Cricetulus griseus: one gene and its partners. The protein of the gene in region 2 interacts with the protein of the main gene of each other region in a pairwise test. Links are inferred from orthologs where the notes say so. Each region holds a gene or a part of one and is shown on either strand. Other genes may lie near its edges. The genes, in order: Spatc1l, Fsd2 and Cchcr1.

What was found.
Region 1: the proteins of Fsd2 (region 2) and Spatc1l interact in binary tests that used the Homo sapiens proteins (3 or more experiments, as listed by UniProt). The two-hybrid records come from large-scale screens. The link is inferred for Cricetulus griseus from reciprocal best matches to the Homo sapiens genes FSD2 and SPATC1L.
Region 3: the proteins of Fsd2 (region 2) and Cchcr1 interact in binary tests that used the Homo sapiens proteins (3 or more experiments, as listed by UniProt). The link is inferred for Cricetulus griseus from reciprocal best matches to the Homo sapiens genes FSD2 and CCHCR1.

Annotation. Positions count from the first base shown.
Region 1 is NW_023276806.1:262,165,983-262,169,636, forward strand, and holds part of Spatc1l (speriolin-like protein), read right to left. Parts: intron 2,517-3,654; coding exon 2,169-2,516; intron 1-2,168.
Region 2 is NC_048596.1:115,996,020-115,999,673, forward strand, and holds part of Fsd2 (fibronectin type III and SPRY domain-containing protein 2), read left to right. Parts: coding exon 1-18; intron 19-2,047; coding exon 2,048-2,180; intron 2,181-3,654.
Region 3 is NW_023276806.1:229,467,914-229,470,830, reverse strand, and holds part of Cchcr1 (coiled-coil alpha-helical rod protein 1), read right to left. Parts: intron 2,508-2,917; coding exon 2,397-2,507; intron 2,075-2,396; coding exon 1,968-2,074; intron 765-1,967; coding exon 652-764; intron 262-651; coding exon 216-261; intron 60-215; coding exon 1-59. UniProt on the Homo sapiens protein: May be a regulator of keratinocyte proliferation or differentiation.

The DNA of each region.
Region 1 (3,654 bases), on a different chromosome or scaffold from region 2:
AAAAAAACAAAAACCCAGAAACAGAAGGAATCTATCAAAACAGTTACCAGTTTGGTAAATTTTTGGAACACAAATTATATTCATCAATGTTCTCCAAAGAAACAGAACCATTGGGTGTGTGTGTGTGTGTGTGTGTGTGTGGTATGTATGTATGTGTCTGGTGTGGTGTGTGTGTGTGTGTGTGTGTGTGTGTGTGTGTGTGGTGTGTATGTTGTGTCTGTGTGTGTGTGTGTGTGTGTGTGTGTGTGTGTGTGTGTGTGTGTGTGTGTATGTATGTATGTGTGTGTGTGTGTGTGTGTGTGTGTGTGTGTGTGTGTGTGTGTGTGGTATGTATGTATGTGTCTGGTGTGGTGTGTGTGTGTGTGTGTGTGTGTGTGTTTACAGAGGGATTCATTATAAGAATTTGCATGGTTATTAAATCCCACAGATCTTGAGAACTGAGGTTGGCAAATAGAAAAGTCAAGTAAAATTATACAGAACTGTTAAAGTTAAAGCTTTCTTTTTCTTTAGGCAGAAAAGAGGAGATGATGGGGGATTCCTGTATGCTATGAATATATGTTTTTCTTATTGGTTTAATAAAATGCTGATTGTCCAGTAGCCAGGAAGGGAGTATAGGTGGGGCTACCAGGCAAGGAAAATGCTGGGAAGAAAAAGGCAGAGAGAGAGAGAGCCAATAGGGAGACACCATGTAGCTGTTGAAGGAGTAACAGGTCTGGGCATTCTCCGGTAAGACAAGACCGTATGGAAATACTTAGATTAATAGAAATGGGTCAATAATTAAGAGAAAGCTAGCTGGGGCTGGAGAGATGGCTCAGGGGATAAGAGCACTGACTGTTCTTCCAGAGGTTCTGAGTTCAATTCCCAGCAACCACATGGTGGCTCACAACCATCTGTAATGTGATCTGGTGCCCTCTTCTGGCATGCACTATATACATGATAAATAAGTAAATAAATCTTTTTAAAAAAGAGAGAAAGAAAGCTAGCTAATAAGAAGTCTAAGCTATCAGCCAAGCAGTTTATAATTACTATAGGCCTCTGTGTGTTTATTTGAGACTGAAGAACAGTGGGACCAGGTGGAACAGAAAACTTCACAGAATGAACAGGTTGTGTTCATATATTTAGGAATACACACACACACACACACACACACACACACACACACACACACACACACAAACACACATCAACAACTAAAGAAAAAGAAGCCATAATGAATTTGAGAGAATGGGTACATGGGAGGGCTGAGCAAAGAGAAAGGAAAAATCATACAATTATATTTTAATTTCAAAAACAATTAAAATAAAGAAATAAAAATTAAATATGTCATTTTCTCAAAGGTGCCATTTGTCTAAAAAAAAAGATCAATATAATTGGCCTATAGATCCAAGACCATTCCAGTCAAGATCTCATCAGACTTTCTTTTGCAAAAATGGTCATTCTGATTCTAAAGTGACTCTAAAGAGACACGAAGGAACTAGAACAGCCCGAACAACTTGATTTGTGGTTTTACACGAAGCCACAAACATCTAGTGGATCTACACAGATGGATGTATTGCACCACATAAAAGTCCAAAAATAGACTCATGCAGGAAGAGGATCAGTTTTTGACAAAATGCTGGGGTAGTTCCTGGGGAAGAGCCATCTTTCCAAGTGTTGGTGTTGGGAAGTAGCATCTGCATGCAAACCTCATACCACTGATGAAAAAAAAAAAACAAAAACCTTGTAACTAGTGAGAGACCTAAAGCTTTATAACTTCCAAAAGAATAAAGATAATCTGTAACCTTGGATTTAACATAGACTTTCTAAATTGGACACAGACAGTACAAAATACAAAAGAAAAGTATCAGGAAGGTCAACTTGACTATGTTCAATAGTTTCATCCTTCCCCCAGTGAAACAGTAAACAGTGGAAAACACACAGACTGGGAGGCAATACATAGGAAACATAAGCCCAAAAAAAAGGACTTATATCTGGAATTACATAAACAGATTTTGAAAAAAAAAATATGAGGATAAGTGACTCTGTTTTTTCCAAAAGACCAGGATAGACATAACCCTGGCCCCTGGCCCTCCCTGGCTCTCCTCTCCTCTGCACCACTGGAGAAGCTAGCCACAGCTATGTCTCCTAAACATGGTTTTCCCACCCAGGGCCACCTGTGTGCACCATACCATTGAGGTAATAGGTCCTCCTGCTCCTATCCCCAGTGGGCAGGTTACTCTCCGAGAAGCACACCTTCTTAGGCCGCACGATATCCCTGGGTTCAAGTAGGGTTTTGTCAGCCAGGGAATCCTGCAAGGGACTCAGGAGTGGGGACATCTTTCTGTCGGCAATTCTTGCATGTAGTTCTGCAGGAGTGAGGAAGGCCTTGAAAGGCACCTGAGAGGTGGATGCACAGCCTGGGGAGGCCTCGTCCTCACTGGAGAGTGGGGCATGTGAGCATAGCAGGTCCTCCAAGGAAGATATCTGTAGCTGAGAGGGTGTGTCAGGGACACTGGCAAACCGTCCAAAATCTGGAGCTGGGGTGGAGAAGAAAACAACAATAAGTCAGCCAGGAGGTACCAGGACATGATTGGAAGCACAAAGAGACGTGGATGAAACTATTGCTCCCAACCCAGAGTTCTGGGCCCTTCTTAGCCACTTCACCTGGTGATGGAGGAAGCCCTGTCCCGTGAGCTCAACAGTAAGCACATGGGCCATGATGTGCTCACAACCACACTCACTGCAGTGATGCCTATGTGCTTTTTAAATTCATCGCAAATGGTATCATCCTATAAGTTTTCCTGCAACATAAATTTTTGATATTTATCCATATCCTGCCACTTGTGAACCCCCAGCTTCCTCTGTTTCCTGGCCCATAGGCACTCCCAATGACTTTTCACCCCTTTTCATCACAAAAGCAAAGTTGTGGTTAGGGGTGGTGGCTCAGTGGTAGGGCACTTGCTTAGCTGGGCTAGGCTCTGAGTTCAAAGGTCAGTGCTTGAAAAGAACAAAGAGGGAAGCTGTGGTCAGCCTCTCTGGATGTACCTCCTCACTCTCAGTGAGCCCTTCTGTGGCCACGCCTGAGCTCAGCCGTGTGCATTTTGACTGCCCTTGTTTTCCACAGCCCTCATCAATCTGTTCTTTGACTTGGGGAGTCTTATCTCCCAGAGCTTGTTCTCTTAACAAGAAAGCAAGTGTACTTGAGAAAACATCCCATCTCAAAATGTACACATGCAGGAACCAACTGCTTTGTCCCAAAAGTATTTTCTAAGAAAAAAGAAGTTAAAAGAACAACAACAACTTGCCAACAAGATGCTAGACCTCCTGTCTGCCCTTCTAAGACCCATTGGTCCTTGAGGGCCTCCTGGCCTCTACCCAGACACTCCTCACAGCACTGAAAACACTTATGGACAGCAGTACACCACTAGAAATGTTGACAGGAGAGCTTCTCTTGCAAACGGATGTAAAATGGCTCCGTAAGAGGCAGAAAACCAAAGTAGGCCAATAAACAAAACTCTAAAAACCCTGGGAAAAGAGTCTCTTCAACACATAGTTCTGGGAAACTGTGTTTCACGTGTGAAAGTACAGAACTAGACCCCTCTCTCATAGCCTTGGGACCTGGTCAGATAGCATGAGGTTTGTCAGTCTCTGATAGTGGTTAGCAACAATGAGACA
Region 2 (3,654 bases):
CAACGGTGCACACCACAGGTCTGTGCCCCAGCCACACTCTTGGGACACAAAATTAGCCACTGTGCTGCAGACTCAGTACTGCTGAGAGTGCACTAGAGCCGGCAGGTGGTGGCGCACGCCTTTAGTCCCAGCGCTCAGGAGGCAGAGGCAGGCGGATCTCTGTGAGTTCAAGACCAGCCTGGTCTACAAGAGCTAGTTCCAGGACAGCCTCCAAAGCCACAGGGAAACCATGTCTTGACCTGCCCCCCCACAAAAAGAAAGAAAGAAAGAAAAATAGTGCACCAGAAAAACCTAACTAAGGCATTGAAGGGGCTCCTGCACCATCAAAGAAAGCCTTTGCTCTCTATAGATGAAGGACCAAGCCCCAGAGAACTCAGGTTGGCTGAGAAAGTGCTAGAACTCAAGACTTCTTTTCATGCCCCAGAGGCTGACCTGCTGGATCTGGGTGCCCTACATATTTCTTATATCACTGTTTTTGTTTTTTTTTTTTTTTCTTTCCAGTTTTGTGTTTTGAAATAGAGTCTTACTCTGTAGCTCAGGCTAATCTGTAATGCAAGCTGACCTGGAACTCAAGGTGATCCTCCTGCCTCAGTCTCTCCAGAGCTGGGCATTACAGGTGTGAGCCATTACACCTGGTTTAGGTTTTTTTTTTTTTTTTATGACATTCTCGAGAATTCCAAGTAGCCACAGCCACCTCCCTGCCCCTGCTGTCAGACCAAGCACTTCCCCAGTTAGAAACCACCTGAGTTGAGTCTCCACCATTCAGCCTCTCCCTGCCTCCATGCTCTGTCTATCCACACTGGGTGCTGACATCCCTCCTCATCTGCTTTCATCATGTCAGAGAACTGGCATGTCCCATGTCCAAGTCCTGAGTGAGCAGAGACCTTATTAGAAACATCCACACCCCATCACGCCCTCCCCCGGCAGTACTACAGGTCTGCAACTGAGCTTTACTGAGGCCTCCTTAAGCTGCACAGAGTAATCCAGTTCAAGCCAGCTGAGTGGGTGGCCTTCAGGTGAGCAGCAGAAACAGAGAGCCTAGTCAGTGTTTGGGAACAAATTTCCTTTGACTGAGATCTTTTCACTGAAACACACTGTGCTTCTTTGTTCCCATTTGCATTGGCAGGAGAGGTCTGTGAGCAACCCACATTCATATTCCCGCCACATAGATGGGAAAACCAAGTTGGGTGTCTTGAAATAACAGATACTTGCTCTAAACAAACAAGCAATGACACGGAGGGCAAAGGCACAGCCAGCTTTATTTCCTTTTTTTTGAAACAGCAAAGGATTGAACCTTGGCACACACTCAGCACACAAGAGGCTGAGGCAGGAGGACTGCTACAAGTTCAAAGCCAGTTTGTGTAACAGAATGGTTTCAGATGAGCCTGAGCTGCAGTATGAGACCCTGTCTAAAAAAAGTAAAAACAACAACAACAAATCCAAACAAATTCCCTCAATTTTGTTTTCTTTGTCAAGGTTAGAAATTATTTTATTTATTTATTTACTTACTTATTTATTATGTATACAGTGTTCACCCTGCACCCCAGAAGAGGGCAGCAGATCTCATTATAGATGGTTGTGAGCCCCCATGTGGTTGCTGGGAATTGAACTCAGGACCTCTGGAAGAGCAGCCAGTGCTCTTAACATCTGAGCCAGCCCAAGGTTAGAAATTCTTACTCAGGTATCAACACAGCCTGCAAATTAAAAACCTGGTCTCTGGAATCAGAGAGGCGAGAAGTTCAATCTGAGCTCTATCATTTGCCAGCCTATTTCTTAACCACTTGTGCCTCAGTTTCCTTATCTACAAAATGAAGACAGTGACACCTGTGCCTAGGCACAGCCCTAAGGACTAAGAGAGACAAGATGTGCAAACTGCAAGGCACTGAGCGCTCAAGTGCGGCCACACCCACTCACAGGTTGTCCATGACTGCCAGGAACAGGCTTCTGTGCACCCGTCTGGACCCTGTGCTTGGTACCGCCACTAGGCCATGCTGGGGAAATCCCACAATGACTGATTGGGGCTTCTAGAAATCTCCTCCCTCCACAGGAAGCTACTTCCAGCTGAACAAGGACAGCTGCCATCCCTGGCTGACCATTTCTGAAGATGGCTTTACAGTGGTTCGAGGTGAGAAGAAAACTTTCAGAAGGGAGCTGCCACCCACCAAGACCCAGTTTACCAGGTATCTGACTGGACACCTGATGGAGCATTCGGGAACTTACCTAGTGCCACTGTTATTTAGAGGAAGTTGACCAAGACTGTGGTGGCCTCTGCAGAGGGAGGTCCCAGGCTGTGGAAACTATGGGATATGGCCAGGATATCAGGTCACATAGCATAGGGACAGAAACCAGGCTCTGAACACTTCCCCTGTTGAAGTGAAGGGTTCCCCTTAGGTCAGTGGGTCTGTGAGTCAGGAACCCCTTTGGGGGGTGGCTGAATGACTTTTCACAGGGGTCACCTAAGACCACCCTGAATATTGTATGTTTACATTATGATTCATAATAGTAGCAAAAGTTGCAGTTATGAAGTAGCAACGAAAATAATTTTATGTTTGGGGGTGACAGCGTCAGGAAGGTTGAGAACCACTGCTTTAGGCCTTCATAGTCCTGGAAGTTCATTTGGCAAAGCAACACATGCACTGCAGACCTGGAGGGAACAGACCATGCATGGCGGGCTCTTTTGTAGCTTCTTAATGAGTTTCATGAATATTTATTAGGCAGGCACCAGGTGACCCTTTCCCTCCCAAATCGGATCTCCTTTTTAGAGCATTTCTTCCGAGCCTTTAGAACAGCCAAGAGGAGTCAAAAGCACAATGCAAGTGATGCACAATGTCAGGTTTTCTAAGGACGCAGCCCCTTCCTGAGTGCATGTGTGGCAGTTGGGGAAGTATCCTGGGTCTTTAGTTTCTGGTATAGCAGTCAGAAATAACTGCAGCTTGCCTCTCCTCTGTTTATGCCCTCCCCCCATCACTCTCACATTGGGGTGCTTTAGACCAAAGTGGTGGAGTGGGCCAGTTCTAAAGTGGGTGCAGAAAATTCTTTGGACTTATACAAGACCTGAGGACAGATGCTACCGGAAGGCTGTCTGTCTGTCCAGTTTGCTTGTTCCTTCTAGAGCTCAGTTCATTTTGTTGAACTATTTACCTATATTGTCTTCTTTCTCCAAGGATATATAAAAGGCTTAAAATAGGGGCTACTATATAATAGGGAGAAAAAACATCAAAGCAACATAAGGAAGCGGGCAGATTAACTCCCAAAGATGAATCAATATCCAGGCTTTAAACAGTAGCAAACGGCCTCTCTACTTCCAGGTGGTCAAAAGTGAGAGTTCAGAGGACCTGCTGGGGAAGACAGGGGCTCTCCCATTGTCAGCAGCAGTGGGAGACACAGATCCTCACTGCCAGCTTTACCAGTACGAGAAGCCCAGATCACAGATGATTTCAGGATGAGGCAGTATTAGATAAAGCTGGAGTTTACTAAGAGAAGCCTTTCCTGTAGGGCAAGCATGGGTGAAGAGGCAGGCAAAGAAGGTTTAAGAAAAGGACAGTTGTCCATACTCAGGGAGGCGCAGGTGCTCTCAATCGAGTCTTGCTTAAGTGGGTTTTCAACTTATTTTGAGAAAGAATATCCTGTGGATGTGGAATACCTTAAATGTCT
Region 3 (2,917 bases), on a different chromosome or scaffold from region 2:
GCTCCAACTCAAGGCTCAGGTCGGCATCCACTGGGGGTGCGGGTGGGGGCGGGGGACAGCTGGGACAGAAATGACAAAGGAGTCAGAGGAAATTCCCTCAGCAGCCACCTGAGCGGCGCCTCCATCCCTCCATGGTCCTCTCTGCGTCCTGGCCACCAATACCGGATTGCCCTCAATGTCCACACACCCTCCACCTCTGTGTGCCTGAACTTCACCTTTGCAGGCGCAGCTGAGCAAGGGACACTTTTCGAGCCATCAAACCTGAGGAGGAAAGGCAAAGGACAGGAAGATGGGTATACACAGACAGAAGGACAGCAGGAGCACAGGCCAATGACAGACAGACAGAAAGACAGCTGAAGCACAGGGCAGTGACAGACAGAAGGACAGCTGGAACACAGGGCAGTGACAGACAGACAGAAAGACAGCAGGAGCACAGATCAGTGACGGACAGACAGACAGAAGGACAGCTGGAGCACAGGGCAGTGACAGACAGACAGAAGGACAGCAAGAGCACAGGGCAGAGTGATCGTTACCAAGACAACAGAGGATAGATGAGGTTAGATCTAGGGCTGAGAGGCAGGGGGCCAGGCCAGTGGGGACAGACAGAAGGACAGCAGGAGCACAGGCCAGTGGGACAGCTGCGACACACACCCTTAATGGTGTGGACCTTCCGGATGGCATAGCTGAGTCGGTTGCTGAGGCTGGGAATCCGGGCTACAGTCTGGTTCAGCCTGGTCATGGTGCCATGGATGCTGTCCTGAGTGCTGTAAAGACACAGGTCACTCACCTTCCACCCTCCCCTCACCTCTGAAGGACCCACAGGGTGTATGCACAGGACACGCTTGTCCTATCCTGTTACATGAGTGGGGAGGTGGGCTGTAAAGCAACAAGAAAAAGGGGGAACAAAAGCCACCAGGAGGGACAAGACCTTAGTGGATCTTGCAAGTCAACCAAGCTCCTTAGCAGATCTTTTTTTTTTTTAAGATTTTATTTATTAATTATGTATACAACATTCTGCTTCCATGTATATCTGCACACCAGAAGAGGGCACCAGATCTCATAACGGATGGTTGTGAGCCACCATGTGGTTGCTGGGAATTGAACTCAGGACCTCTGGAAGAGCAGTCAGTGCTCTTAACCTCTGAGCCATCTCTCCAGCCCCTCCTTAGCAGATCTTTAAAAATGCCTGCCAGATAAAAACATCCAGCTGAAGCCAGGCGGTGGTGGCGCACTCCTTTAATCCCAGTGCTCAGGGCAGAGGCATGAGGATCTCTTGAGTCTGAGACCAGCCTGGTCCAGTAGTCCCCCTGGGGGCAGGAGGTGCGTGCAATGCTTTGAATCAGGGCAGTGGCTCTTTGAATCTAGTCTGATTCTCTGTGGGTTTTAAAGTTTCATCTTTTTTTTTTTGTTTGCTTTTTGTTTTTCGAGACAGGGTTTCTCTGTGGCTTTAGAGCCTGTCCTAGAACTAGCTCTTGTACACCAGGCTGGTCTCGAACTCACAGAGATCCACCTGCCTCTGCCTCCCAAGTGCTGGGATTAAAGGTGTGCGCCACCAACGCCCGGCTAAAGTTTCATCTTTTTTTTCTTTTTTCTTTCTCTTCAAGTGCTAGGGATGGAAGCCAGGGATTCCTGAATGCCAGGCAAGTGCTCCACTGTGCTATAGACTGTACAATTTAGATGCTTTCCAAACTAAACAGGGTGTAAGAGCACAGGAAAGGAGGAAGGGACGGGGGAGGTTTGGACCCTCCATGTCCTATCACTGAGCTGTGAAGCCCGGGCTCCACCTAGCTGCCCTACTTAGCTTCAAAGGCTACCCGACGGAACTGCAGGAAGCAGGATTCCCCAGCTCCAGACAGGTTAAATTCACAGCGGGAGACACTGCCAGGCAGAGATGCTCCCTCCCGCCTGAGGCCTGAGGCTCCTCAGGGTCCCAGAGGCTTGGGAAGCTTTGCCGCCCTGAGAGATACCTTTTCATGGCGCTGACCACGAACTTCAGCTGCTCCTCGACAGAGTCTGTCCGCTGCTTCTGCCGCCGCCTGGCCTCCTGAGCCCGATTCAGCTCCATTTGCAGGGTCTGGGAGGATGCCGTTTTGTGTTCGTGTTTTCTCTTAAGCCTCCTCCCTGTTGTCTGGCCCACAGACCCGCGGCAGCCCCAGGGTCTCCCTCACCCTCCCTCCAGTCTCTCTCTCTCTCCAGCTCACAGACCCGCGGCAGCGCCCAGGGTCTCCCTCACCCTCCCTCCAGTCTCTCTCTCTCTCCAGCTCACAGACCCGCGGCAGCGCCCAGGGTCTCCCTCACCCTCCCTCCAGTCTCTCTCTCTCTCCGGCTCACAGACCCGCGGCAGCGCCCAGGGTCTCCCTCACCCTCCCTCCAGTCTCTCTCTCTCCGGCCCACACCTTGATGCTCATGCGCTCCACCTCCAGCTCCGCCGCTTTGTCTTGCAGGGCTTGCTGCAAGATGGCCTGCTCCTGGCTCTGGGCCATCACTTGTTCCTGGAGCTCTGCTACCTGGAAGAGCAGAGGGAGCTGGGCAGGCAAGTCGAGAGCCAAAGCCGCGCGGAACGCCGGGTTTGAAGGAGAATCAAGGAGACCGGCAGAATCTCTGAAGTGGGGCTAGAGACACTGGCTCGGCGGTTATGAGGCACTGGTTGCTTTTGCAGAGGACCTGAGTTCAATTCCCTCTACCCTCGAGATGGGTGTGATGGCTCATAACCGTTTGTTACTCCAGTTCCAGGGTGGCCAACACATTCTGACTTCCATGAGCACACAGTACACATACATACACACGGTCAAAACACTCCTACACACAAAATAAAATAAATACATCCACAGCTCTGGTTACCCTGGAACTCACTGTGTAGACCAGGTTGGCCTCGAACTCAGCGATCTGCCTCTCCCTAAGTGCTGAGATTAAAGGC